Schizosaccharomyces pombe: one gene and its partners. Changing the gene in region 2 together with the main gene of any one other region gives a genetic interaction. Each region holds a gene or a part of one and is shown on either strand. Other genes may lie near its edges.

Region 1 (7,775 bases), 3.6 Mb from region 2:
TCGCCCTGTCTTCTTTGGTTGTGATGGTCGTAACACCACTGCTGGTAACCACACTGTTACCCGTGACACTCCTCCTTTGGTTATCTATCTTCCCAACGTTCCTTACAACTACTTCACTAACATTTCCACTGATCGCACCTACTACACTGAAGACATGATTCAACAACTTCTTACCAACGGCCTTATTTCCTCTACCGTTGACAATGACACCTACTTTGGTCAATGTTTTGCCTGTGCCGTTGTTAAGCGTACTTTGGAGCGTAACAACATCACTGCTAGCCCCGAGTGCCAACAATGCTACTATAACTACTGCTGGAGCGGTCTTTATGATGACAGCGCTGCTAATGATGATATTGTCTACAATCCTACTTGCCGTCTTGGTGAAGGCATTTAAGGAAAGGCGCATGCAAACTTTTCTCTCTTCAGTATTTATACGACATATCTGTTGCTCACAAGCAAAAGATAGAGGGCAATGCTTATGCCTGGAAAAAAGTTTTTAAAAAAAATCTATACAATGTCTGCTGTCTTAGCATAAATCAAACCTAGCCATATATGTGAATCAATCCAATTACGCGATATGGGTTTTTGTTAACGGATTATTAAACTGAACGTTCACTCCGCTCTAATTAGGGAGACTATTTTGTTATCTTCCGAAAGTATTTTATTCTAATTTACCCTCTCTTCGGAATGTTTTTTGTTCATTTTCTATTGTGAGCTTTCGTTTGCTGTAATTCAGTTTTGTTGACGGCTCCAAATTGGACGTGTTCTAGTTGTTTATGAGAGTTGCTGTTATATATAGTTGCGAAAATAAGTCATTTTTTTAATTCTTGGTTGTAATAAGAATGTTGTTTGTCTATATAAATAAGTTGACTGTAATTTTTTTGTTTTGTTTGATTCAAAAAATTATTATTTATATGTATATATTTTGTATGATAAAATTTGATTTTTAAAGGTTTGCTATACTTGAACAAGGAATAGTGAACTTTAACATACAGCCTATAATTCATTAATTAGGATGAGGAAGGAGATGTAGAAATGAAAAAATTTAGTTAACGTAAAACAGATTATACGATCATTTACAAATTATATCAACTGTACGCAATTTAATCAATGAAGTAGTGGGGATGTAGATGAGACAGTATAGAATACATCACAACGAGTAATGGGAGAAAAAAATTGTAGTAGTTGCGCGGGTTTTGCTCGGCCTCGGGCTTTACTTTCTAATCCGATGACTGTGAGTTACGTGTTTTGCAAAATTATTTAGCAAGTGTGCATTTTATGCTTTAAGTCTAAACGAAATGGGATCCGAGTTAACTTTAAGTTGAGGCTTTGCTTTTGATATAGGTATGCGCATGCGATTTACAAAAATCTAATCGAACAGAAGTAAGTATGTGTGTATGATAATAACATTTTGATAAATAAAGAAAACTGGCTAAACATATATTATGTAGAATTGAAAGAGCATAATTACAAGAAGAAAGACACTTGAAGATATGTTGTGATGTCATTAGATGTAGCGACTTTACAAACATGAAACTATGAGGAAAAAAAGAGTTACTGAGAGAGATTGATGATATTTTATATACACCATGACTCCAAAGATTGAAGGAAGTTAATAAATAAACATTGTGATTCATATTTTAATCAATTATGTAAAATGCGGCCAGTTGTAATGTAATGCGACTAATTTGATGCCAGTAATGTGTGTTAAATAATAGTCAAGGACAATCTGCAAGTTCCTTAGAAAGGTCCGGTTTCGAAGAGGCACACTTAATATCCGAGGGCGGCGCAGTTGAAATAACCAGCCCGGTTGAACGCTACATTCTCCTATACTTAACCTGCAAATGTTTCCGTCGTTAAGGATTTTAGATATATAGCTTAGCAACATTCATCCCAATGTGAACTTTAAAGCAGTCATAGTTGACCAGAAGATGAGCAACAAATTCAACGTAAAGGCTTGCGTCTCAGCGACTGCTCAAAATATAGATTTACACAACAACTTTACATATTAAGCGATATTTAAAGGACCGACAGTCTCGGTCTCTTTTCGCATAGAACGGAAGGGCATTTACATCATGGGGATGTAAATGGACCTTTTTTGATCTACAAAATGGGAATCTAAAAAATCTGTCAAAGATAGACATATGTGTCTCTGCTTACATATATATACATATATATATAGGCTGAATCACTTTCAACTTGCCTTTTCCCAATATTAAAATTATCGCACAAGTCGCTACTTTAGCTACTACTAACTTTTAGGGTAAGAAAGTGTAAGGGGGGATTTGCTTGGAGACTAGGCATGAGCTTGTATTTAATTGGAATAAAAGAAAAAGAATAGGAATTCATGAATTTGTTGAATGAAATTGCAAAACTGCAAGTCATTTGTATGAAACATAAAGCAGATGAATCCCAGGTTTTCGGTTACGATGCGACGTTTGCCGATGAACAGAAATGGTAAATGGTTTCGCATTTGATTCCGCAATACCGCAAACAGAAAATTTTATAAACCATGGAATTGTCAAGCGTTTCGCCAAATTCAAGAGCAAAATCCAGTGTTTATCTTAACATTGAGACGCTATGCTTTTTAATAAAAATCAATAACTTTGGATACTAACTTGTCATTTATTTAGACACAAATTACAATAATCAGATCCTCATATACCGGAGCAGAAATAACAGCACGGTAAGCAGATACAGTGATACAGTAAGAGCTGCGTTGGAATACGGGTGAATTTCAGCTATAAGGAGTTTTAAAATTTTTACGTAGTAGGGCGCTTTTGGTTTAATTTGTTTCACCATCCGTTTACAAATATTCCGTTGTTGTGTTGTTTTCGTTCACAAGAAAATTGTTTGAGGGTATAGTCAATTTTCTAAACTTTTGTGGGTCTAGAGAGACAGTCGTTGATTCCATCGTTTGTTTTGAGCGCGTTTTTGTAACGGCCTTCTAATCTCTGAGTTCAAGCAAAGCGGTGTGTAGATTTTGGCATAATTTCCCAAATTTATTGACCTAAAGACGGTTTAACTATAAAAAAAAAAGACAATGTTATTTAATTGTTTTGGAATACTCGCTCTGCTCCAGATCCTGCCGGCCTTGGCGTACCCGCCTTGTCGCGAGCAAATGTCGGATCCGTATGAGTTTGGGGAATCTGACTTAATGAGACCGGGCATGCATGACACGCCTCTTTCATTAATGCAAAAACGAGAGGCTTTGGCGATTTCGCTTTCCAAGCGCGACAGTGTTGGATCATACGCGCCTTATAATGTAACTTGTCCTAGTGACTATATGCTACGACCTGCTTCTGACGGAATAAGTTCAGGCGAGCAAAGTTTCATTGATAAACGTATCCCCAAAATCAATACACAAATGAGGTCCTTTATTTCCAACACTGGTTTGGACGTAGATGTAAACTCTGTGATTAATGATTCAGATGGCCCTCGTTTAGGACTTGCATTTTCTGGCGGTGGACTCCGCGCTATGGTCCACGGAGGAGGTGTTTTAAATGCTTTCGATTCTCGAAATGGCAATGGTTCTTCACTTGCTGGAATTCTTCAATCCGCCATGTATATCGCTGGTCTTTCTGGTGGTTCATGGCTGGTCGGTTCCGTAGCTGTTAATAACTTTGCCAATATTACTTATCTACGTGACAACGTTTGGAATTTGGAACATAGTGTCTTTGCTCCTCATGGTGACAATGTTGTCGAAAATCTTGCTTATTATGACGACCTGGATGATGAGATTGATCAAAAGAAAGATGCAGGATTCGATACTTCTTTGACCGATCTTTGGGGACGCGCTTTATCTCGTAAGCTTGTCGATGCTACCCAAGGTGGTCCAAATATCACATTTTCTAGCATTAGAAACCAAACTTGGTTCCAAAATGCCGACTATCCTTATCCCATCATTATATCTGACAGTCGTTTGGAAGAGGAAAAAGCTATCCCTGCCAACACCAGTATATTCGAATTTACTCCATACGAGTTTGGTACTTGGGACAATGGTATTAAAGCTTTTCTCCCTATGGAATACGTCGGTACCCATTTAAAGAATGGTGTTCCACCAGACCATAAGTGCATTCGTAACTATGATAATGCCGGTTTTGTTATGGGTACTTCAGCTACATTGTTCAACACGTTTCTGTTAGAATGGAGTCAGGAAGTAACGTCAAATAGTACTCTCTATGATATTATTCATAAAGTATTTGAAAAACTTTCTGAGGATCAAAATGACATCGCTCCTTACCCCAATCCTTATCAGAATTTCACGACTACAAACACCACCGTCAAAAACCCTTTTGAGCGATTCGATACTATTGATTTAGTAGATGGTGGTGAAGACGATGAGAACATTCCTATTTGGCCTTTGTTACATCCTCAAAGATTTGTTGACGTTATATTTGCTGTTGACGCAACTTATGATGATTCTAATGGTTGGCCTGATGGCTCTTCTATTGTTACTACATATGAAAGGATTATAACTTATAACGCCAATAAAAGTGTTGATGTTCGAGGTTTCCCGTATATCCCTGATGAGGACACAATCATTTCCTTGGGACTGAACACTCATCCAACATTCTTTGGATGTGACGGCAGAAACACTACTGCAGGTAATCATACCGTAGATAACAATACACCTCCTCTTCTTGTTTATTTCCCCAATTATCCTTGGGTTTACTATTCCAATATTTCCACGTTTACCATGTCTATGAATGACACTTTGTCCAGTGGCATTCTTGAAAATGCTGCTCTATCGGCTACTCAAAACAACAGCGATTCATTTGCAGTCTGTTTGGCATGCGCCATGATACAACGTTCCTTGGAGCGCAAAAATATGTCTACTCCTAGTCAATGCTCTTCTTGTTTTGAACAATACTGCTGGAATGGAACAACCGTGAACAACCCTAGTGCCGTTTCAAACTATGCTCCTACTGTGTTATCTGCATCAACCACTTCTGGTACCTCTTCTGTACGAGCCAAACCTATAGTATTTTATTTATTTGCTTCGCTTCTAACAGTTTCGTTACTATTATAGACGACGAAAGCCTCCCCCACTCACACACCTTGGTATGAGTCACTTTTCGACTTGAAAGAATTAAAAAGCATAGACTGAGTCAGGCTTTTATTTATTAATTGTAAGGTATTAATCACTACCAAACTTGTGGGGTTCAAAGGTTTTGTAGTTTTAGTGTTAGTGTTAGTGAATTCATTTTAAGTTTTCGAAGCACAATGTTTCTTTTCTCTAATGAAGATGTTTAGTTTAGTTAATTTAGGAAGATCGCTTTTATTTTTAAATATACAGACAATTAATTTTAATAATGATTGTGCAATTTTATAGATATCAAAGCTGTTTTGAATTATAAACCGTCAAAAAAGTCAGTTCCTAAAGGCTTTTTCCCTTGATTTCCCACCTTTTTCTTTTTCTTAGGACTCGAGAATTCAGAGTCGCTGCTGGAATCTTCATCACTATCTAAATTATCAGAGGAGGATGACTCATCTCCTTCCTTCTGATCAACCGGCCAGAAAGCTAGTTCGGTTCCACTACAGGAAACTAAAAAATTGCCTTCGGTAGTAACATCCACAGCGTCTACGGTTGATCGCGAAGAGTGTTGCCCTATAATTCTTTCGTATTTGTTTGGAAGAATGTGTAACAAACGTATACATCCGTCGCTTCCGCCAACATACAGACTGTCAGAATCAGCACGAGTTATTGTTTCTATTGAAAAATCATGGGACCGAATTGGCGATAAAATGCGATCGGTATGATCCCCCCAATCACCCTTTGTAAATAAAGTTATAACTCCACTGGCAGTACCAACAGCAAATTTCTTTTTTGAATGCTGATCCCGTGTAAAAGCTCCACAGGTCATTTCTTCGTCTTGTTCTTCACTCAATATTGGTTTTTTGAAATTACGAGCATCGATTACTGACAAAACTCCATCACCACTAGTAGCAACGAAGTATCGTTCTTCAAATGGGCTAATAGAAGATATATAGTCAATATGATCATTATGGGTATGGATAATGCCTCCCTCGGTGCGCTTATCCCAAACAGAAACACAACCATTATCATCACCTGTAGCAAAGACCATATCATTCTCAATCCATTGAACCACACTATAAGGAGAAATCTCCTTATTCTTATCCACTATCCATTTTGAACTCACTCTCCCCGTTGAGGTATCGGCGATTTTTAAAACACCATCTGAACCTACAGAAATGAATTCGGTACCTGATTCATTTACTGAAATATTTCTGCAGCTTTTTTTATGTCTTTTGGTACTCCATTGCTCGACCAAACTTATTTGTGCGACATCATATTGATAGCTACTAACTCTGCCGTTTGAAAAACCCAGTAACACTTGATTTTCACCGAAACAAGCTAAGTCGAATATTTCATTTTCAAATTTTTGTTTTATAGCAGCATTTATTGTTCCACCCATTAGGTTGTTTAGGACAAGTAGGCTGTGATTAGAGCTGGGCAATCCACCTCTCAGCACCCATTGCCCTGTAGCAAATTTGCATACCCTAGAATCGCGAATACTATTACACTACCAACTTGATATTGTTTTGGAAAATTTACATAAAGCATATAAAATTTTATTTGTACGAACTTCTTGAACTCATTTAAATAATTCAATAGTATTTTTTACTTGGGGATTCTTTATTCAAAGACTTTATTCGAAATCGTTAAACTACGAATTCTTTTAGAAAGTTAGACATGGAAAAATGGACGAAGGAGAACGTACTGAAAATTTTGCCAGTCGACGATGAGAGTGCCGCAATGATAACAAGCACTGCTTTAGCAGTCGATTCTTCCGAAGCCGCAAAAGATTATTGGATTTCTTTACTGGGGGATTCTGCTGAGACTATAGAATTCATTAGTGACTTCAATCAAAAAAGATTTCACTCTACGCATTCTGGTAATTCTCCATCGATCATGAAAAACAAGAAGAATGTGACACCAAATAATAATATTCGGCAAAAAAATACTGCCACATCTTCTCATCCAAGTTTCTATATCGCTAACAATAAGCAAAAAGGATATGATGAAGAAATGTATAAAGTCAATCCTGCTTCGAGGAATAAATCACAATCAAACAATATTTCATCACATGAAAAATCTAGCAAAACTACGAAAAATGTCTCTCCAGGCGTAATGACTTCTGACCTTATTCCGGAAAAGAAAAGTGTAAAACATAATAACTCTTCTTCTAACAGAATTGAAGGTCTCGCCGACATCGAAAAAGCTATACGTCAAATAGAGATATCTCAAAATATAAATAAAGCAGAAAGAAGAGTCTGCAATTGTCAAGGACGTAAGCATCCGCTTAATGAGGCGGCTCCCAATTGTTTGAATTGTGGAAAAATAATTTGCATTGTTGAGGGGATTGGGCCTTGGTAAGTAATATTACTACTATATCTTATTAACAAGTTTTTACTAATCTTAATTAGCACCTTTTGTGATAATCCTGTCATTAGCAAAGCTCAACAGTTGGAATTAATTCAAGAGTTGAAGCATGAGGGAAGCCGCTTAAAGCAAGCTGCCAATCAAAAACGAAAAAGCAAAACCGTTTCTAGTAAAAATAATTTTCAAAGGTTGCAAAATTCCTCCTTGCATTCAATTTTTCTCGATCCTAAACAACTAGAGCAAAAAGCTCAGGAGGCTGAAGAAAGAAAAAATGTCTTATTAAATTTTGATAGAACCTCTGCTCAACGAACTCGTATTATCGACGAAGCTGCTGATTTTGATCCTACTTCGCTAGCTTCTGATACTT
Region 2 (8,236 bases):
GATACTGTTTTCTTTCTTAATAGTTACATGATTGAATGACATTAATTATTAGACATTAGGTAATGAACTTTCGACTACTTCGTTGCAAACAGCTGATAATGAGGGAAAAGCTCATTTAGTCAAGCTTATTAGAAATTTTCTCAAGTAATCATTGGACTGTAAAAGTATTTGGAAATTTCATACTTTGAACTATTCGCCCAACGTATTCCTTGATTTCTAAATAATATATGAAGATAATATTTCTCTTATTTCTTCAAGTTCATCTTGATCAACAAATGAAACAAAGCGACGATTCAAAGATTTTGTAAGACCTTGAATGTGTGAATTAATTTGACCGTCATTCGTAGCTTCCACAAAAACAGTATCCAATGTGCGCAACCCTTCTGGAACTGTCTCTAAGCTCGGCAATCCTAAATTTTGTATGTTTACTATTTTCGATATGCTACTTGCGTTATAATTTTTTCCTTCTAGTAATCCTTGATTATCTTTGGGGCTGCGTACGACTCCAAATAAACAATTGTTTTGCTGACTGTAATCTTGAGCAACATTAACAAAGGAGGCACTACTCACTAGTGCCCATTCTTTAGACGAGTAATTTTTTGCTTTAAAGTTCAAATTATGGATAAAACCTCTTCCTTCTGATTGTAGCTTTGATTCGATATCTTTCATTCTGTAGCAGGAAGACCCGTAAACCCTTGTGGGCAATGTAAAGGACTCAATAGCCAAATTAATTTTTGCGGAGGAAGCCCAAAGGTCATCACCTTGTGATATTGTACACAAAGGGAAGTACTGAGAACAAGATCCGTTGAGCTGAGATAACGAAAGTGCTTCATTTAGTTTTCCGAAATGATTATCAATAGTTGCGGATGAATCTGACTGAATCGGCTCTCGAATCCCATAGACCCAAGTGGGAACACGACATTCTCCTAGCTCATCTTGAACTACTTTCATGTATTCGCTCGCAAATCCACCCCACGGAGTGTCTATGTCTATTGCTGCTTGAAACCCTTGGACGCTATCACATTCTTCAACAAGCGGCCTCAATCCTTCATCCCATACATTGAATTGCTTATCAAAATCATGAAACCTTTCTACACCGAGTTGAAATGAAAAGTCCGATGAATTCAGTTCCGAACAGTTTACTGGAAATAAATACTCAGTATCTAAAAATAACCGATTGAAATCTGACCAATATTTAACGCTTTTTGGACGAATAGAAGGAAGTTCATATTCTGATTCTATTGCGTTTCCCTCATGGATCTCATCTCGACTCCAAAGTGCTTCTTGGTACGGATGCACATCGACTGGAGTCTGCATAATCTGCGTGAGTTTACCATCCCATGCTGTACCTTTTCCTCCTGATGACTCATTTAACTCCTCTAACCAGTTTTTTCTAGTATTTCCAAACTCAATTGGAGTATCATATATGCACTCACGAGGAACCGTAACAATAGCTTCTGGATCACGCTTTTTCAGTACACGGAAATTGGTGTTTACATTAACCTTTGCATGATCGTTCGGATCGTATACAAAATAAGACTCTTGAGTGTTCCAAAAATGCGTCCAACAGAAGTTGCTCTTTCTTCCAAATGTAACTGTTAATATTTCATGCATCGAATATGCAAATGCCTAATAGATTGTTAAATGTATTTTGTAAAAAATGTATATACATGTATTTTCTAAATATCTAAACAATACTTGAGATAGATTTCGTAACCATAACCCTAGTTATTAGAAAATTGGTGTGAGTTAGTTATACCGTTACTAGCTTCTGTCTACCTAACCAACGCCAGTGAGAAACTGCTGCTGGGGAATGTCAAACTAACGTAAGAGTGAAGTTTCAGTACATGCTACTGTTATTTCTAAGCATCCTTTTTTAATTTTGCAATTCAAAGCTTTGTTTTCTGTGTAGAAGCATAGCATAAAGACTGAACCTGTAGAAATTAGTTACCGCGTAATGCGTTCTTAGATGCTTCATTTTTTATTTCATTCAGGATCTTCATCAAATAGAAACTCATCGCCGAAAGAATCCTATGAGCTTCTTCATGGTTTGGACAAACAATATCAAAGTACTAAGGATGTAACGTTTCGTCTTGTCCTCGTTCAAGACATCGGAGACCGAAAAAAAACTGTTTTGTTTGACTCTAATCATGTGGATGGTCAGAAAGGAGATAGTGTGCTTAGGGACTCGGCAAATGCTCCACTTACTGATCTGATGTTTGGAGCAATTCCTATCTCCCATAAAGGAACTACCACAAAGTTGCATATTCTTCATCCCCCTAATCCTGCCACAAGGTCTTATATGCTTACTCAATTATTTCAAATCAACACACATGGTACAGTAGTCAATTCTAGTCACGAAACGATTGCATCTGCTACTTCATTATTTGAAAATAGTAGTTCGAACTTTTCTGAAGACCCTAATAAACCCAACTCAAGCGATGCCTTTGAATCGAATAAAGAAGACAGTCCATTATTAAAGTCTTTTAATGATAGCGCTATCCCTGAGAATGCAGCAAATTTATCTTCTTCTTCTAAAAACATGAAAGATTCTACTTTAAGCAGTCAAAAAGCTCGTTCGAATACAAGTTCTTCCTTTTTAACACCTTTGCATGAGCAACTGGAAAGTCGCTGTGCCTTACATACAGCTGCTAAGGATCCTTTTCGATCTAAAAATTCGCTCCGGTGTAACAGGGGGCATTCCCCTCTTTCCTCCCAACAAATTTTGCCTGCAATTTCAAACAATACCTCAGAAAAGCCTGATTCCAATAATTGTGGTTTTCTTCTTCCTTCAAACTCAACATCAATAAAGGATTTAAAAAACGTAAAGAAAGGAAACAGGTTAAATAGTCCTCCGTTTATTACTATTCCTCAATCCATCAAAAACACGAATTCTAATTTTCTGCTTTCTTCACCTTCACTTTTTAGCGATACTCGCACTCGTCCAGCTTCGTATGCTTTAGCTCTTATCATTACTGTACCTTATGAATATGACGAAATTGTTCATCCTGTCAGTACTTATTATACTATGCTATCAAATTTTACGCTTTCTTTGCAGAAAGAAATAGATGAACGAATTCGCAATCTTTTGTTTGTTTCACTTAGCAGTGGGGGGGATAACAAAAATGATACAGGAATTCCATTAATTCAGTCTTCATCCTCAAAAGTAGGTTTCGGACCATATGCTCTTAGCAAAGATTTGATTACAGCTAAGAGTTTCCACAAATGCATATTGTTACTGAAAACTGGGTTTTCGGCACCATTGATTAAGCCTTCAGTATTTAGTGGCAGCAAATGGGTGGAAAACATGCGATTGTTAACCGACTTGTGTAAATCTCCAGCCCAGAAGTGCTTGTTTAGCAATTTACTAACAGCTACTCGAAAATTCTGTTTGGAACGCCAAAAAGATGATGTTACTTTTAAAGTGTTATTACAGTCTAGCAAAGCACCAATAGCTCGACGTTTTTTATATCTACTAGCTCCATTAATGCGACCGTCAATTGCGCAATGTTCCGATACGCTTCTTAATCCTATTCAATTATATCCCAACTCTGGAATACTCTCATCATCTAGTCTTTCTACTTCATTTGGTTGTCCTTCTGTCTCTGGCTCTTTACGAGTACCTTCCTATGATATGAAGATAAATGATTCTTGCAAAGCTATAGATATTCATTCAGAGAAACCATCGTTTGCTGATTCTCCTAGGAAAACGTCATTACGAAATTATTTGAGTAGCAGCTGGCGATTAAAATTTATGCGTAGTAGTTACCAAAATAATGAGACGGATCCGCTTAATCCAACTTCTGGTTCTTTTTTAAGACAACCAATGCAGTATAGTTCACCCTCGGGTGTTTCGGAAAGTGCAGCGAGTAGTTTTTTGGATATAGAAAATATCGATGAATATTTGGAAAGCGCTGAGAATATGAAATATTTACCAAGGTCAACTGTAGGACCAGGAGGTATGCTCCATGTGGATCTTTTGGAAACGAATGCTAAACAGGAATCTGAGGCAACTACTTCCACCGTTCCTCCGTCTCCTTCGCAGGTGGGATTTTTGAAAGCCTTACATCCTTCTTTTGACTTGCAAGCTGCCCCCCCGAATTCATATGTATCGTTTTCTGATGATGATTTTATTTCCGCGACATTGTTATATATGCTAGAAGACGTTTCACGCAACAAATCCCAATTGCTTGCTGAGAAAAAGCATTTAAAGTCGCAGCTCATGGTTGCTAATCTTGATACGTATTCTCTCGATTGTTACGAAATACACGAGTTTCCTAGCGAGTGGGAAAATGATTATGCGCCTTTCTTGCTTAAAGAACATCACAAAGTCATTGGCGAAACTTACGTATCATCTTTTGACATTCAACAAGGCTGCTTCAATGTTATTAAAAGGCGTTTATCATCATATAAATGGGACAAATCTGATGACTCCTTCGTAAGCGAAGTTTTGAAAGGCGATTTGAAAGAAGTTTTGAGGGTGTGTTCTCATTGCTAACTTAGTATATGTAAACAAGAATTTTACACTATTCAATATATAAGTTGTCAGTAGAAATGAAATAATCCTAGAATTTTATAAATTTTGATTTGACAAATTTCATTTTTTTTCCTGCATTTAGTGGTTCCGGTTGAACATTGCTCAGTAATAAATTATGTGATCAAAAAGTGATTGTTATAAATTATGTTTAAATATAGCATTTATTTACTAAAAGGTTGAAAAATTATCTGTTAGTTATTTACCGTTGGGCAGAAAACTCTAAAACACATGGCATGCATCCTTCATTCAAAAGAAAGAAATGAACGTTAACAAACTAAATTTTATGGTTGTTTTTTGAAATTATTCAAAATTTTCTACGTTAATGACACCAGCTTTTCTATTTCGAGGTTTCTCGTTAACCATTTAAGTATTTCCATGTTTATCATACCGTGCAGTTATCCTTTTCCAACCACCCACCAACAAATATTGTATTTGAATATTGTCTGTATCATTCGTTTAAGTGTTTTCAATATTAGTTCAAAAGAAATACAGACTTAATGATGTCTTATGAGCCAGCTGAGCCTGTCCCCGTGGAAGAACAGCCAATCTTGGAGAAATTGATAGGCATCCGTCAACGCCTAGCTGTTTTGAAACGAGATCGTACGAGATTCATTGAGAAAAATGAGGTTTTTCATCTGAAAGATGAATTAGTGGAACAGAGTATGTAATTCGCTAATATTTGTGTCAAATTATGGATGCATATGGATGAATGAATGGTCATCTGTGGGATAAATATTTGGCTCAAAATTTTGAAATTTAAACAAATTTTTGCTAACTAAGTTTCATTATAGTGAATTTATTGGACTCTAGACGATCGACGAATAGCACTCGAACTATTGTTGATTCACAGTTAGAAGATTGTTTGCACCTATTATCTTTATTTTATCTAGCGATTGGACGTAACAACGACTTGCCTGCTTTTTTCGTACAATTGGGAACTGTTAGAAGGCTTTTAGAGTATAATTTAGAAGGTGCCTGCTATACGCAGAATGACCTTAAGCCTCTCAAAGAAAGGTTGGAACGAATTAGGGCTGCAATCGTTGAGGGATCTAAAAAAGAGGATGCTTCTCCAGTTGTTGTAAAATACCTGAATAACAAACTTGCTGTTTGTGATAGAAATTATAGTGAAGCCCAACATAACATTTCAAAGATTTCACCAGAGCTTATAGGTATTCAAACTCGTTTGGTTTCTATTCATCGTCAAATTGATGGTTTTGCCGTTCGTCCTACATCTGACCCTGGATTTATTGACCGGACAATGGAACAATTGAAGGAAATTGAAGAAATGAAGGATTCTAATGGGATGTTTTGTGACGCTGACCATGTTCCCTTACAAGGTCAAGAGCTGTGTAACGGTATACTTGAAGAATGCTTTAGTTTTCTTGAGGATGCCAAAACTAAGGAAGGTTTGTCTGATGAAATGAAATCAAGTCCTAAGTTACAACAAATTTACCACCGTCTCGACGAGTTGCTTAACAAACTAAAACATCTTACACTTACTCATCGCTGGACTTTACGTGAGACTGAGTACGTTTTTCTTTAGTTTTTTTTTATCGAAGAAACCTTTTGCTAACGGATTTTAGTCTTTACGTTTATCGTGCTTCTCTAGCGGAAATTGACTCAATGCGTATTGATGGTCAATTTTTGGACGAACAAGGCAATGCGCCTGCTGGCCAAAGGGTAAGGAGTTATGCAGAAGTTATATGAAATCTCAGCTAATTGATATGTTAGATTCTTTTATATTTACTACGCCGTTGTTATGCTTACATATACCAATTACTTTCTAGCAGTGAACCAGTGTCAGAAGAGCTTATGGCCGTACATAATCAACTTCGAACTGTTAAACGCTGCTTACTTGAAGTTCAGAGAAGCGGAGGTATTTGCTCGGAAAGAGATTTGTATCCCTACCAAATGAAGTTGGCCTCATTAGAGAATCTTAGGGTGAACGGAAAGTTTTTGGCTTCCGACCATTCCGTACCCGAAGGACAAGAGCTTGTGAACTCGCTTTTGACTCAGTGTCATCAATTAATCGAGGAACTTCGCGATGAAAAGCATCAACATGATATAGAGGAACGAGAAGGATCTGAGAACACGGATGGAAACTTATAAACGACTTTTCTTTCAGACACAACTGTATTGAGTTAATGCCTATAAAAGTCATAACCTTCCGTTAACTTTTATGAAGTATTAATAAATGTGCTGGGAGTGTTTCTGTGCGCATTATAACCTTCGGTTAAACTTAAATGAGTCAGATTTGAAAATTTCATTTATAAAATTTCATCTCTTTTTTTTTTCACCACCACACCTTAAATACTAGTCAGCTTCTTAAAACTATGACAGCGATTTTTTATGAATTTTCGAAGCCTCTTATTTGAATACCGGTTTGGTGCTTTGAATTGCAAGCAATGGCTGTTTGATTTTTTTCAAAAAGGGTTGAGGCTATTGGAACTGTGATTTGTCCGAGAATTCAAGCACTGTTGTCATTGTCGGTGAATTTTGAAGCGATACGCGATATTTATTTTTTTTCATTATTATACAATAAAAGGCTTAAGATACAAACTAATTTATGTGAAGACATAAAGAATAAAAGTATTATGAATCATTTTGAAAACTGGTTTGTTTTAAACACTCGCTGCGTATACTTGAACAATACGTGACAATAAGTAGTAATTTTCATAATACGACAAACCGTATTGAGACATGGAAGACATGGAAGTTCTCATTTAGTAAGTTGTATAAATCTCATTAAGATGTTTTACAGTAATTCTGCTTTGCATTTCATTCCCTTAGCATCAGGCAGAAAACGTTTGAGGTAATCTTCCTCTGAACATTTTTCGACCAACAAATAAGCAAAGGAATTGGTCCATAGTAATTTAAGCAAGCAAAAGTGAGTATTGAAAACGAGTCACTTTGCAGATGTAAAAATAAATTCAACTAATCCATGCGCGAAGCCAAACGCAATTAAGAAGCCTAGGAATTATAAAAAAGGGATACCATCATTCTGCAATTGAGACAAATAAAAATTCATTATTTAATTATCAAGATTCGTGATTAATATGTATGTGTGTGTGTGTGTGTGTGTGTTTTTTTTTTTTTTGGGGGGGGGGGATATACACTGGCTTTACATTCAGTAAAGGCTCAATTAATTCATAATCACAACAAGTTTGAGAAATTGAAAAGAGCTACCGCAAATAAGACATGTATAACAGCAAGCTGGATTAGAATTCTAATTAGTCGAACCATTGAAATTCTTTTGATTACTGAGGTTTTGAAACCATACATTTCTCTTAAACACCAAACATATGCAACCTTAGTGTCGCACTGCTTATACTAATTTTTAAGATTCTCAGTACGATTAGGTTCAGCGCTATATATTCTTATCAAGGTATCCTAAACGATTAAAAAGCATCACCATTGTAAATGATTAAAAGGAAATAAGGATCAATTATTGTAAGTAGCGGGTCTGTTTTCCTCGATTAGTCTGTGAAGACATTCGCTACAGAAAAAGAATGCACGTTAACAAAAGCACATGAGTTAAGTTCCTGTTATACAAATTTGAGAATATTGAAGCCAACTAGACTTTCCGCTACTGGATTTGCAACTTCAACTTTGCCGATTGTGAAAAAATAGTGACGAGCAGCGGACATCTAAAGCGTCGCCTGTCCCGCAATGCGTAGATGAAATCCAGTAGATGCGAGT
Region 3 (6,637 bases), on a different chromosome or scaffold from region 2:
GTGGTAACTGGACTCGAACAGCAACTTTTAATTGTTCTTCAAAATACCTAATTCAATTTTTTGTTAGTTTTTAAGTATCATATTGGACCGAACCATATAAAATAATACTTACATCTTTTGAACATCAGCAGGCGCATAATGTAATCTATCATAATCAAGACCAAATTCACCAAAAGCAACTACTTTTCCTGAAGCTTTGCCCTTATTAGCCAATGCTTCTAGTTTTACTAGATAATCTTCAGGACCCTCAGAGTGCCTTAGAAAGCATTGTGCCTGACATGGATGCACGCCCACGGTACTAGTGAAACATTCTGTAATTTATTAGTAGGCTGATAAAAAAATTTGGATTAGGCTCATTTCAACACTTTGAGGAAAAGGACAAGAGTTTACAAAAATGCCACAAGCGAATGAGTTGAGTAGTAAACAGTTTAAGCAATTTTTATACTAGTAAAATAAAATAAGAAATGAATTGTGAGATATACTTACCATAGTTTGTAGCTAAATTCAGGGCTTCTTCAGAGTTTTCGACATTGTCGCCGGTAATCATCATTTTTTCTACTCCCACAGCTTTCGCTCGAGAAATTATGGAATCAAAATCATCAGGATGTTTTAGTTTTTCATGATAAATACCTCGAAAAACAGGATCTGTTGCGTTGTATCCAATGTCATAAAATCGCAAACTGCAGCTCATATCGTAAGTCTACATTATCTTTCTTTATACCGAAACTACTTACCTTTTTACAAATGCTTGCCTAATTGATGCCATAGGTAGAGATCTTTTTTTTTTGTTTTTTTCCTCTAGAGGTTTAAAATGTGAGAGTTGAGCTTAAACTGCATTCATATATACTGCTGGGTTAGACATGTAGGAAATCAAAAAAATATTTAGTTTCTTATCAGTTTTATTGCAGAAGCAAATATAGGTATTTTAGCAATAGAAATAGCTTTATTACAATTACATATAAGTTTTGAACAATTAATTTGCAAATAAATCTGATGTTAAATAAAAGTACTCATAATTTTAATTCTATTTAAGAAACCAGAAGTGAGAAAACCTGTCAAAACAAAGGATAAATAAAAGACAAAATTTAAACTAAAGTAACTAGTTCTTCAGCAGAAGTAGGATGAATGGCAACACAACTATCAAAATCTGATTTTGTTGCACCCATCTTTATGGCTACACCAAAGCCCTGCAAAATTTCAGCAGAAAAATCTCCAACTAAATGTAGGCCAACCACTTTTTGAAGAGGACCGGCACAAACTAACTTGTAAGTAGTGGGGACCTTGTCTTCTTGCTCAACCATTGAGTAATTAAGACCGTTGAATTTAGTGTTGTATACCTTAATTTGACTTTCACCGTACTTGTCGATGGCTTCCTGTTCTGTAAGACCTATAGTTCCAGCTTCAGGATGAGCGAAAACAACAGAGGGAACTTCCTCGTAATCCAAATGAGCATCCTTAATGCCTCCAAAAAGCCTATCAGACAAACGACGACCAGCAGCAATAGCAACGGGGGTCAATTCTAATTTACCACAAACGTCACCTAAGGAAAGGACAGTGGGAACGTTAGTGCGTTGATATGTATCAGCAATAATGATACCATTAGGGAGTGTCTTAACACCTGCCTTTTCTAAACGCAAACCTTGGATTTTAGGGGCACGACCAATTGCCCAAAGTAGGGTATCAACATTAAAGGTAGATCCATCTTGTTGATGAATACACAATTCGCCAGAAGGAAGCTTCTCAACCTTTTTGAATTCTAAAGAGTTCGTATGGACATTGATGCCAATATGTTGGAAATGATCCATAATTCCATCACTGATAATAGGATCGAATTTACGTAAAAATTTGCTTTGGCGAATAAACATATGAGTCTCTGTTCCTAGAGCAGCAAATACACCAGCAAGTTCAACGGCAATATAACCAGCACCAACGATAGCAACGCGCTTAGGTTGGCTTTCAAGCTCAAAGAACCCGTCACTATCTATACCATATTCCGCTCCTGGAATATGCGAAGGCCAAATAGGATGACCACCAACAGCTATAAGGATATATTTTGCGCTGAAAACCTGAGTTCCCGAACCATCATTCATATCGACAGCAACCTCAGTAGGTGATACAAAGCTAGCGTGACCAGAAATATAAGCCACACCATCCTTATTAACATTTCTTTCATAAATTCCATTGAGACGTCCAATGTATGCATCACGTTTACGTTTAATCATTCCCCAGTCAAAACTACCTAACTGACTGTTAGGGAATCCATTTTGCTTTGCTGTTTTCATCTTTGCGACGAGATCAGCAATATTCCACATAATCTTTTTGGGTACACATCCATAATTTACACATGTGCCTCCAAGGCGCCCAGATGCCTCAATTAAAGCAACCTTGGCTCCATGTTTGGCAGCACGACGAGCCGAAGCCAAACCGCCTAATATTCATAAATGTTAACCCATCAAATCCCGAAAGTATCGAATTGTACTTACCACTTCCACCACCAATTACCAGGTAATCAAAGACCTTTGAAATAGGTGCCATTCTAGTTTTAATACTTCGTGTATATAGGTAATGAAGAAGTTGAATACTGTTATAAACCAACGGAAGGTAAGGGTAAGACGTCTTTACCATGAATTCGTTATGATAATATTAGGAAATTTTATGGCAATATTAGTCATCTTCAAAAGTAAGCAATACCTCCATAAAGTGATAATTAGATTAGAAGAATTCCTTAGACTTTGCCATTGAACAGATGGAAATACTTTTCTCAGGCCAATGATAGTATAGAGTTTTTATTAAAAAATAAGTATTCAGAACTGGTTAGTACTTTAATTACAAGATCTCATCGACAACTCTGGAAAAGCAACCAATGTTTTAAGATAAACCATTTTTTTGTAATAAACATAGATGATTTGAAAACCTAGAGCGATCTTCCTAATATACATTAACTTTGAAGCAAGTGGATGATTCACACACGCAGAAAAAAAAATCAACCGAGTTTCCTAACAGCGTCTACACGCGACTGTAAAATACTTAAAGCTGGACAAACCCATTGAAGACAACTGCATTGTAAACCTTGCCATTTATAAGAACCAATTTTAGAATTGCATTTTGGACAATCAAATCGACCTTCCAAATTTCCCAACTCCAATTCTGGCTGCATCCAGCGAATAGGTTCCAAAAAGTAATGAGTACATCTTGTATGAGAATAATTATTTTCATCTTTCGGTTCATGCGATACCAGATAATCAGAGCTGGCAAGGACAAACCGACATTTTTTACAGCGAAGCTCTAATTGTCCTGCACGGGCACGGACAGTCTCAGCGTAAGCGACTTCAGATGGTACCCTAGTATTCAACACCGCGAAATCACCATATCTTCTGAACAGCCATTGGCGGTATGGGCGCAAACTTCGATCAAGTTGGTAATTACACTCAAAGTATACGCGAAGTTGACGAAGAAAATTAGCATTAGGAGATATTCCAGAGCGCCTTTCATTAATATGGGAGAGTGCTTCCTCAGTATTCCAATTGTTTTCCTTCATCAAGTATGCAGCCACTAAGGTTACGGACCTTGATATGCCCGCAAAGCAGTGAACCAAAACTTTGGCATTTTTAGATAGTGCAAAAGCGATGAATTTATTTGACTTTTCGAAGTATTGCAGAATATTTTGAGAACTAGAGTCTTCAATTTGCAACCAAAGGTGTTGTTGTTCAGGAACCGACAAATTGGGATTAATACTCATAGCGCTTAATGTATAATCGATCCCTTTGTCTGAAGTAGACACTAGCTCTGACGCCGTTTTCCAACTACTAATATACAAATTTTTTGATATTTCCGACAAGTCATTGAGGCTGTCAGGATAATGCACCTCGTCTATAGCTTTCTGTACATCGTTGCTAGACTGTAAAAACCCTTCTGCTTCTTGAACGGATGAGTGAATTTCATCAAACTGAGGTTGCCATGCACTTTTGTTGCTCATTCTATTATTAAGTTTCTGATTTACCACTTTGAAACCGAAAGAAACATAAAAACATGAAAAACACTTAACTTTTCCAATTACTCTAATTATTTCGCTTGGCAAACAACCAAAACCAAAAAATGCTCTTTTTGAATTATTTTAAATATATCAATTAGTTTTCCCTTTTATTCCTGTTTTTGGTGTTTGGATTGATTCAAAAGTGCATGTTACTTAAGCCACTTGACCTTCGATATGTTACTTGGTTTAAAGGGTTTCTGGTAGCATCGATCCATCCAAGTACAAAGTTGGCAGAGATTGAAGGCACTTGAAACTTTGGTTCTCTCATCAAACTTGGACTTAATTTCCTTCTTTCATATCACCAAAATGGAATCTAGTAGAGAAGAAGCCCTTAGGTACGAATAATGAGGATTGCGTGAGATTTTATTACTAACACATGTTACGTGTAGATGCATTGGACTTGCAAGAAAGTATTTAAATGCCGGAGAATATGATAAGGCTTTAAAATTTGCTAATAAATCTTTGCGAATTCATGCTACCACTGAGGGCGAAGATTTTGTGAAACAAATAGAAAAGCAAAAGCTTACAGGTTCTCCAAATCCTCAGGCAACTCCTAAGCAAGAAAACAAGAGTAACTTTTTTTCTGAAAAACAGTCGGTGCGGGAAAATGGGAATAGCTCTGCTGGTGAAAAGAAACAGAAGTGGACAAGCGAACAACATTTGTTGGTCCAGAAAATCATAAAGTACAAAAATCACCAGTACTATGAAATATTGGATTTAAAGAAAACCTGCACTGATACAGAAATCAAAAAGTCTTATAAAAAATTAGCATTACAGCTCCATCCAGACAAAAATCACGCACCTAGTGCTGACGAAGCATTTAAAAGTACGTCTTCATTTTTTAGCTAATAATTTTTAAGGTTTTTTTTTGTATCCTAACTTTTTTATAGTGGTTTCAAAAGCCTTTCAGGTTTTATCAGACCCTAATCTACGAGCACACTACGACCGTACAGGAATGGATCCTGAATCTCGCGCCTCTGCTGCGAGCAGCTCTTTTAGTAGTAACGCAGGAGGCCATCCTGGATTTTCTGCTTATCCTCAAGCGAATATGTCTCCCGAAGATTTGTTCAATTCTTTCTTTGGTGACCAGTTCTTTTCAGGTCCAGGAACATTTTTCTTCGGTGGTGGACCTGGCATTCGAGTTCATCAGTTTGGCGGCCGTCCAAGGAATTTTGCACGTCGTCAGCAGGCCCAGGACATGCCCCCAAAGAGCATATTTTATCAGTTGCTACCTTTGATAGTGGTAATCCTTTTTGCCTTTTTGTCCAACTTTAGTTGGTCAGATAGTACGTCGGTTAATACGCGCTATTCATTTCAACAAAACTATAAATACACTGTTCCTCGTACTACTGCCAAGCATAACATTCCATACTATATGAGCCAAAAGGATTTGGATAAGCTAAGTTCAAGAGATATAAGAAGACTCAACGAAAAAGTCGAGCATACGTATACTCAAAACGTCCATAATGCTTGTTTGCGCGAGCAACAAATTAAAGAAGACGAAATTCGAAGAGCTCAAGGATGGTTCTTTCCTGATAAAGAGGCACTGAAGAAGGCTAAAGAATTGCGTTTACCTAATTGCGAAGAATTAAACCGCCTTGGCTATCGAACTTATTCAAACAGTTATTATTTTTAAGCAATAGTCTTTGAGACATACTTCCTTGTCCTTTGTTTTGTTTCATTTTCTTTAATTCACATCTATACCTATTCTCGTGTTGTTTACTTTCATAAAAATTTTAATTGGGTTTTTGGAACAAAACTAATATTCTTTACGCGTATCTTAAAGCCTGCCTCTTCGGTTTTTAGGTAACTTTAGGCTGTTTATCTTTAATGAAATCGGCATGCGTTATTCCTAAAAGTTGCCTTTAAAACATGAACAAATTAGAACTTGTGTTTATGTTGTGGTTTTTTTATTGTTATTGAACATTCAGTGCTGCGTCAGTTTATAACTTTATCTGTTGTGTAGGCGTTGTTTAATCAGTCGTGAGTCTAGTGAAATCTTGCAACAGCATTATTTCCTTAAGAGGTGAGGCTTTTTTGAATCAAATCCAAATTTTGTTCCCGAAGATTGAGTTAATTAAATCAACTTTTTGCATTTAATAACTGCTTTCTGTATCGCTATATTAAGAAGCTTTGCGTCCTTTGTATCATATTAATATAATTCGTGAATTTACTTGCATTTCCTCCAAACAACAAATCCTTTAAAATAGAAGGAATATTAAACTGCTAGAGACATTGGCAAACCAAATTTTATATAGCTGCAAAGACGCGAGTAATTTAACCAGAGTTCTGAAGCGTGATTTCGTATCTCAAAAAAGAGGGTAAGCTGGTAATCATCACACATTCTATATACAAACATTTTAAACTCGTTTTCGCTTTCCTGAAAAGACAGGTTCCTGCTGAATGTTTAAATATGCTTGCGTCTACTAGCAGTTTATGAAGTACGAGTAATTGCTTGGTTGTAAAGAAGCAAGGCGCATGTTTGAGTGTATATCCTATAATATTTAAAAACGACATGTAGAGGTAGATACCCACAAGTGACACTCGTTGTCAATAATAATTACTTTCCTGCTTTCTTCTTCCTTCTAAAATCTCTCTCATAAT
Region 4 (7,114 bases), on a different chromosome or scaffold from region 2:
CTAGCAGCTGCTAGATGCATACCATTGGGCAAACTAATTTTTTTCTTCTTTTGAGCATTTTTTTTTGTTTTAAGGGTTTCTAGAGACGCTTTTCTATCGCAACTGCTCGGAATCTGCACTTGAGACACATTCAAGACCGTCTCAGTCTCAACAGACATTTGCATAGGCTTGGGCTCCGACATATCCTCCTGATTAGCAGAATTTACGTATTTTCGAAGTTAGCTTATGAAAATATTTTGATTTTCGATATTTCCATTCCTATGTATATGTATTGGCATTCCACATTGGCAAAGGATAAATAGTGCAACATACATTTGACAAACGTCAAGTTGCCAAGCCCTACCCTAATTAAATTATTAGCTGCTAGTGCTAATAACTCCTTAAAATTTTTGACGTTAGCAAACTACTACGTGAAAACCAGGAGAACTTGTAGAACTCCCGGTTTCCTTTAAATAATCTCTGATTTTGGTTTCTTCATGTAATAGTCTTTTATTAGTACTAAAGCTTTTTATCTCCGTATTCCTCGATTTTTAGGAAAATACTGATTAGTTCAATATTTGAAAATGCTTGTTACTTAACGAACTGACCGTATGGATAATAACGACCAAATATCAAACCTTTGTCTAGGGGCTTTACAACTGCTTGCCGATCAACCTATTTCGGTTATCTCGAATGAACCATCTGAAGAACAGCGGAATGAGCACGTCCTGAAAAAATGGGAAAATAACGTTTTAAGACATTGGAAAATTCTTTTTTCTCTTTTTATGCAAACTTGTGGTGATAGTGTACAAGGAAATGCTGCCTTCTCAATCCTCAATTTCATGACTACTAATAGTTTAGTGGGACAACTATATCAGCGACTATATGATGAGTCTAATTCATTGGGCTTTATAAGTAGCCCTTTGAACGAGACAGAACATTTGTCGGAAGAAAATTTAAAAATCGAAAGCAGTATTACCTTCACTAGTGAAGAAATTGAGAAGGAAAAAGAAAATATTAAATCTGTATTACTTCCTTCAGTGCAATCTATTTCTTCTTCTTTAGAATTGTATGCGTCTAAAGAATCTGATTATAGAAGCTCAATTGAAGGTGTATTAGCTGACTTGAAGTTAGCGCGTGCCCGTTGGGAAATCGTTAGAAACGTGACACAAATACTTTTGCTCGAATCCGGCATTAGTTTCCTAGAGAACAAAAAACTTGCATATATCATGGATCTATGTGGTGATCGTGAAGACAATTATAGTTCCTATTAAAAGTCTTTATTTTGTTTGTGAACGAAAAATTTGGTATGTTTTTATGAATGTTATAAGCCCAGTGATGCTTTTTTGAATTTCTTCAACGGAGCCGTTTGTCTTATTGACATGCGATGTGGGACGATATTTGACATACTGAGGGCCAATCATTCATTTTTCTGACTTCATAATTTTTCTTACTAACCTTTAGAGTAAATGAATTCTTTATTATGAATATTTTTAATAAAAGCTCCTTTTTTACTCTTTGTAAAAATTTTAGAAACTAGAATACATAAAATTTTATTTAAAGGTACTCTAACAACAATAACGGATGTAAAGGAGAAAATTGGCGAAACCGTAAAAATAATAGATTTCTCTACAAAATGAAGTAGGGTTGGGCGTTATCGGTAAACTGAATCAAGCGGACAAACCACCGTTGTTTTTTTAAAAAAGGAAGGCTTATAATAGTCGGAGGTTTTTGGAATGAGACAATATAGAGGCGCTGATGTCAATTGTGAACATCATCAAAGGTATACTAATATATAGTAAATAGATTGTGAACAATCAAAAATTTTGCGAGCTCAGTAATTCTTTCTCCACAGTCGCAAGAAAACTGGCATCTGCTAATGTATAAAAAGTCAAGAGTCAATAGTATATACAAATCAGTTATAATTTAAAAACCGTATGGACAACAGACACTTAATTATTTTGCTTTTTAGAAGTAGTCACTTCTTTTGAACGACCGTCAAAAGCACCACGGTTACCTTTGCGAAAATTCCTTTTCATTCCATTATAATTATCGTTGGACTTCTTATCTCCCGATTTGTTGAATTTACCGGAAAAAAGACGGCGTCGTTCTTCTATGTTCAGCGTGGCATTGTTAATTTGCAAAGTTTTTTTGTTCAAAGCCAATTGCACGCATTCATGGTTGACAAAATCAACATATGCGGTGCCTTTGCGACGAGCAAACTCAATAGCCTTGACTGGTCCAAAAATGCTCATAGCAGATTTCAATGACACATCAGATGTTTCGGGAGGAATGTTCTTGACGAATACAGATGTCTCCAACAGTTCATTACTCTGAGTGTACGGCGCTGTTGGCTGCTGAGTTTGGTCAGCATTAACACCTTTAACTGTTTGACCAGTTGTAGACGCAGTAGAACTAACTGATGCTTGGGATTTCACATCAGGATGATTACGAGCTATGAGATCAGCCCAAGATTTAGGTGCTGTAGCAACATTTGCATCGCTAGCCCCTATAGCATCAGCATTCTTCGAGTTTGAAGTCAGAGCTTCATCTTGAAGCTGATTTTCCTGCTGAGAAACAAAACTTGGGACTGAGGCTTCCGTAACTTGGATAACGGGTTCTTCAGGAACAGCCAAAGTAGCTTGATTTAGACTGTCGGTCTCATTTGATATAAGAGCGGCTGTGGCAAAATTATTTTCTGTAGCAGCTGGATCCTGGTAATGGCCTTCTTCTTTTGCAGAAGGTAAATGTTCTTGAGATTGCACGCCATTTACGTAAGGTTCAGAAGCAACATCTTTTTTCTCTTTTTCAACAGCATCAGGTGACTCCTCTTCTTCCTCAACATCTTCACGCAAAAAACGGAAAATATCGTTTAAAACAAAATAACCATTTGGTTGTTCTGCAAGGAAAAATGTTTGAGCAAATTTTCTGGATAATTTCCCCTTATTAGACATTTCACCCAGGACCTGGATGACAATGCCACCATTCGAAGAAGCCAAACTGTCAACGTTTGAAATAAGTACTTTGCAATTTTGAAAGTCCAAGTCCAATATCTTGTTATGAATTTCCTAACACGTTAATAAAATGACTATTGGGCAAGACAACGATCATAGAGTTTCGAAAATCGCAAGCAGAATATCACAACCTCAAAAACTTTACATATAAGAATTGTGTTAAAGCATACCTGTTGTCCATGACAAAGACTAATACTCTCGCCTTCGTCTCCGTGAATTAAAGTTGACTTTTTAGTATAGAAACACTGTATTACAGTTAGTACGGTTCACAAGTTGAAGAAAAAAAAACTTTTGGTAAATTATGACGACCTACATGAAGACGATTGGGTTCTTTATTTAAATATGTATAATATTCTTGAACGAACATCCATCCTATCTCATCCTTTCCCAAAACTGGTTCTAATAATGTGGCATTTTCCGCAGTCATGTTTTATTTAACTGTGACAATAGCTATACAAAGAACAGAAAATCTGGCTCTAAAAGACCCAAAACAAAATTCGGTCGTGTCTTATGTTTTCCGTGCGTTGGTCTTTTTAATGTCCCATCTCCTTGCTTTCAATGTCCGTGATTACAGCATTTCGTAATTGGATTTAACGAGACTAAACGATATTTCTGTTGATCTTTTACATTCAACTTGTTCGCATAAGTAAGTTAGTTGATGGAAAGAGAGACCTTTTGGTCAGAAAATTGTTTGGTTTTTCATTTCAACAAATAACATAAACATCATATGATTTACCATAGATCAAAGTTGCATATATTTCTTTCTATTATTGTTTTGCAAATTGATTATATTAGAAACGTTAATTCATTGGAAACCACTAAACATTTTGAATAGTAATACGACTATATACTGTGCTAGAGAGATTAACCTGCTAATGATTTTGCCAAAAGTCAATTAGTTTAACAGCTTTAAATGCAATCGTCTAGAAAAATTATGATACTAAAAAGAAAGTATGCGAGCCTTTAAATCATTTAATTAACGAAAATTGAAATTACTTTCTTCTTCTTATTTACCAGCATTAAAGGGTTAAAATCTAGTGCTATAATTGCAACGTATCTTACTTTAAATAAATTATTTATTGATAAATTTTGTAAGACTCAGGAAAGTACCTATCCTATCCATTTTGTTCACTGCCATTTTGGTGGCATTAAGAAGTTTCACTCGCATTGCCAGTTATCCTCCTCCTACACCAATTCAGGTCAAAAAAGTTTCAAATCCTTTAATAGTCTTCGTTTTATAGTATTAAAATCCAAAACTTGTCTGTTAAGGTATAAACTTCTGATAAAGACATTTTGTTGCATTACTTATTCGAAAATTGAAAATTTGTCAAATACTAGAATGGCAAGATTGACTGCCCCAAGCAAAGGTCCTTCATTTTCAAATTTAAACAAACCAAATGATTTGTTGAAAGCGGAAATTGAAGATAATGAAGCCTCACACTACTCTCAAAATCAATCATCTGACAGTGATTCTGATGAAGCACCTGAAGAAGTTTCGCTGAAGAGCAGCAGCGATGAGGTAAAAAAGAGACTTCAACGTCTGAAAGGGAATGAATTACAGTAAGTTTTAATAAACGGAATGAGGGAAACACTTAAAAATACTATTTGTTTTGGTTTGAGACAGAATAATAATTTGTTTGATAAAAGTTCGACTGCTCATTTCGTTTCCTTGCTTTTGATAGTATTATTTTTAACACATTTTAGGCTTCGAAAAGCTGAAAGAGAAAAACGTAGACTGCAAAATGAAAGAAATCGTGAAAGAAATGCCCAACGGGTAAGCGCATCAAAGTTGGATTTGGCTATTCTTGAGGCAGCTGAAGTTGAAGAAATTAATAGTACCACGGAAATCGAAGAAAAGGTTGACGAAGCAAGCCTTGACCTATATACTCCAAAAGGACATAAAATTGTTTTTCCTAATAACGAAATTCCTAAAAAACGTACTCGTTCATTTCGTAAAGGTGATTTTAAAGTGAGCGTTCTTAAAGAAACAAATGACCCTTTACTAGCGCCGAACTATGAAAAGAAACTGTCACAGCGTAAACGGGATTGGATAAATCGACAATCAGTTCCCCGGGCGTCTAAAAGACGACGTCCCTTGACTTATTAATTTTCCTTTCTCTATTTGGCAACACATTCGCTGTAAATTGAAAGTCAGGCACAAGCATTGCATTTTCTGTTAATATAAGGGTTTACTTTTTTGTTTATTAATAATATTGGTTGGGAAAAGGTTGTCTGGGTTCTAAAACATTCATTATTTGAAGCTTTGGACATGCTAAGTGCAGTTTACGGCTGTTTTTTTGGTAAATGTTTAACATAGTATTTTTAAAAATAAACACTTTAGACAAACATGAGTTAATTAAAGTTGTATCAAGGATTTATTGCCATGCACTAGAGGAAATTCGCTCATGTAACGTTTCGTACATCATAGATATTATAGATATCAGTAGCTATAGCTCATAAGGCCAAAATTTGCATAAATATATTATTAATTGTCTAGTGTATGAACATTTACTACTTATAATTATAAAATATTTGCATATAAATTTCTGAGATGGTTTGTACTTTCGACTACTTGCACTAGGCAAACTTCGCTTTTTAGCACCACAAAAATTTTGTCACTTCAAAGCATTGTTGACCTTCACCTCTGCAGCCATGTCGGCCCAGGATGTCGAAAACGCAGTAGAAGCAGCATTAGATCCTTCTGTAGGACCAATAATAAAGCAACAAGCTACAGATTTTATTGGTAGCCTTAGAAGCTCATCTACAGGTTGGAAAATATGCCATGAAATTTTTAGTGAAAAAACGAAATATAAACCATCAACAAGACTGATTTGCCTTCAAACTCTTAGTGAGAAAGTTAGAGAATGGAACAATGAAAGCAATTTGTTAGAGTTACAGATGATAAGAGACAGTGTTTGGTCTTATATTAAGGAATTAAGCTTTTTGGATGAACCAGCTTATATTAGTAATGCTGTACAACATTTATTGACATTATTGTTTCTTCAACTATATCCAAGCAACTGGAATGATTTTTTTGCTTCACTCCAAGGCGTTATTGCGGCGTCGTCTCAATCTGAGTTTTCAAATTTTTATTTGAAGGTTTTACTTTCCATCGGCGATGAGATTGCTGATTCATTGGTTTTAAAGACAGATGTTCAAATTCAAAAAGATAATTTAGTAAAAGATGCAATTAGGGCAAATGATATGTCTGATATCGTTTCATTCGTCTATGAAATGATGTTGGCCTATAGTAATGCTAAAAACTATGGCACGGTTGGATTGTGCCTTCAAGTATATGCACAGTGGGTATCTTGGATCAATATAAATTTGATAGTTAATGAACCGTGTATGAACTTGTTATACTCTTTCCTTCAAATTGAAGAATTACGTTGCGCTGCATGCGAGACAATGACCGAAATTGTGAATAAGAAAATGAAGCCACTTGAGAAACTTAATCTGCTCAATATTCTTAACCTGAATTTGTTCTTTTCAAAGTCGCAGGAACAATCCACTGATCCTAACTTCGACGAACATGTCGCCAAGTTAATAAATGCACAGGGTGTTGAACTTGTCGCTATAAAATCCGATCCTTCAGAACTTAGTCCAGAGTTGAAAGAAAATTGCTCATTTCAGCTCTACAATCTTTTTCCATACCTTATCAGATATCTTTCTGATGATTATGATGAAACCTCGACAGCAGTTTTCCCCTTTTTGTCCGACTTACTTGTCTCACTTAGGAAAGAATCTTCTTCCAAAGAACTTAGTGCTTCTTTAAAAGAATTTCTTAAATCTCTGCTAGAAGCTATTATAAAGAAAATGAAATATGATGAATCACAGGAGTGGGATGACGATCCTGATAGCGAGGAAGAGGCCGAATTCCAAGAAATGCGTAAAAAATTAAAGATTTTTCAAGATACCATTAACTCTATTGATTCTAGTCTATTTTCTTCGTACATGTATTCTGCTATAACTTCTAGTTTATCTACTGCTGCTACATTATCTCCTGAAAATTCATGGCAGCTTATTGAGTTTGCGCTATATGAAACCTATATTTTTGGTGAAGGATTGCGGGGTCCCGATGCATTTTTTAATGAAGTTGATAAATCTCCGACTGTTCTTTC

The links.
Region 1: mutations in fnp1 (region 2) and plb3 together harm fitness less than expected from each alone (positive genetic interaction), as found in Schizosaccharomyces pombe (one large-scale study listed by BioGRID).
Region 3: mutations in fnp1 (region 2) and SPOM_SPBC17A3.06 together harm fitness more than expected from each alone (negative genetic interaction), as found in Schizosaccharomyces pombe (one large-scale study listed by BioGRID).
Region 4: mutations in fnp1 (region 2) and utp16 together harm fitness more than expected from each alone (negative genetic interaction), as found in Schizosaccharomyces pombe (one large-scale study listed by BioGRID).

What each region holds. Positions count from the first base shown.
Region 1 is NC_003424.3:1,067,396-1,075,170, reverse strand, and holds plb3 (lysophospholipase Plb3), read left to right. Parts: upstream 1-2,808; 5' UTR 2,809-3,043; coding exon 3,044-5,032; 3' UTR 5,033-5,248; downstream 5,249-7,775. Other genes in the region: plb1 (lysophospholipase 1), read left to right, coding at 1-394; SPOM_SPAC1A6.11 (uncharacterized protein), read right to left, coding at 1,317-1,637; wdr55 (WD repeat-containing protein), read right to left, coding at 5,355-6,440; transcription coactivator Rqt4, read left to right, coding at 6,719-7,398, 7,453-7,775.
Region 2 is NC_003424.3:4,640,526-4,648,761, forward strand, and holds fnp1 (folliculin complex subunit fnp1), read left to right. Parts: upstream 1-1,781; 5' UTR 1,782-1,969; coding exon 1,970-4,498; 3' UTR 4,499-4,652; downstream 4,653-8,236. Other genes in the region: GTPase dml1, read right to left, coding at 217-1,614; SPOM_SPAC30C2.08 (uncharacterized protein), read left to right, coding at 5,035-5,197, 5,329-6,064, 6,121-6,217, 6,269-6,646.
Region 3 is NC_003423.3:1,410,394-1,417,030, reverse strand, and holds SPOM_SPBC17A3.06 (phosphoprotein phosphatase), read right to left. Parts: upstream 4,167-6,637; 5' UTR 3,977-4,166; coding exon 2,984-3,976; downstream 1-2,983. Other genes in the region: SPOM_SPBC17A3.08 (deoxyribonuclease Tat-D), read right to left, coding at 1-47, 113-311, 487-680, 735-766; mitochondrial glutathione reductase Pgr1, read right to left, coding at 1,086-2,428, 2,484-2,535; SPOM_SPBC17A3.05C (J domain-containing protein), read left to right, coding at 4,340-4,368, 4,423-4,859, 4,924-5,669. UniProt on the Schizosaccharomyces pombe protein: May be directly involved in signal transduction and/or cell cycle regulation. It is necessary for maintaining growth rate or spore germination. Could show both activity toward tyrosine-protein phosphate as well as with serine-protein phosphate.
Region 4 is NC_003423.3:3,648,613-3,655,726, reverse strand, and holds utp16 (U3 snoRNP-associated protein Utp16), read left to right. Parts: upstream 1-3,906; coding exon 3,907-3,944; intron 3,945-3,989; exon of another isoform or gene 3,990-4,010; coding exon 4,011-4,553; exon of another isoform or gene 4,554-4,697; coding exon 4,698-5,100; 3' UTR 5,101-5,366; downstream 5,367-7,114. Other genes in the region: protein vac7, read right to left, coding at 23-182; CENP-H-like protein Fta3, read left to right, coding at 591-1,253; ubiquitin protease cofactor Nxt3, read right to left, coding at 1,932-3,047, 3,164-3,238, 3,307-3,420; karyopherin exportin-T Los1, read left to right, coding at 5,646-7,114. UniProt on the Schizosaccharomyces pombe protein: Functions as part of the small subunit (SSU) processome, first precursor of the small eukaryotic ribosomal subunit that coordinates the first two steps of ribosome biogenesis in transcription of the primary transcript pre-RNA and pre-18S processing.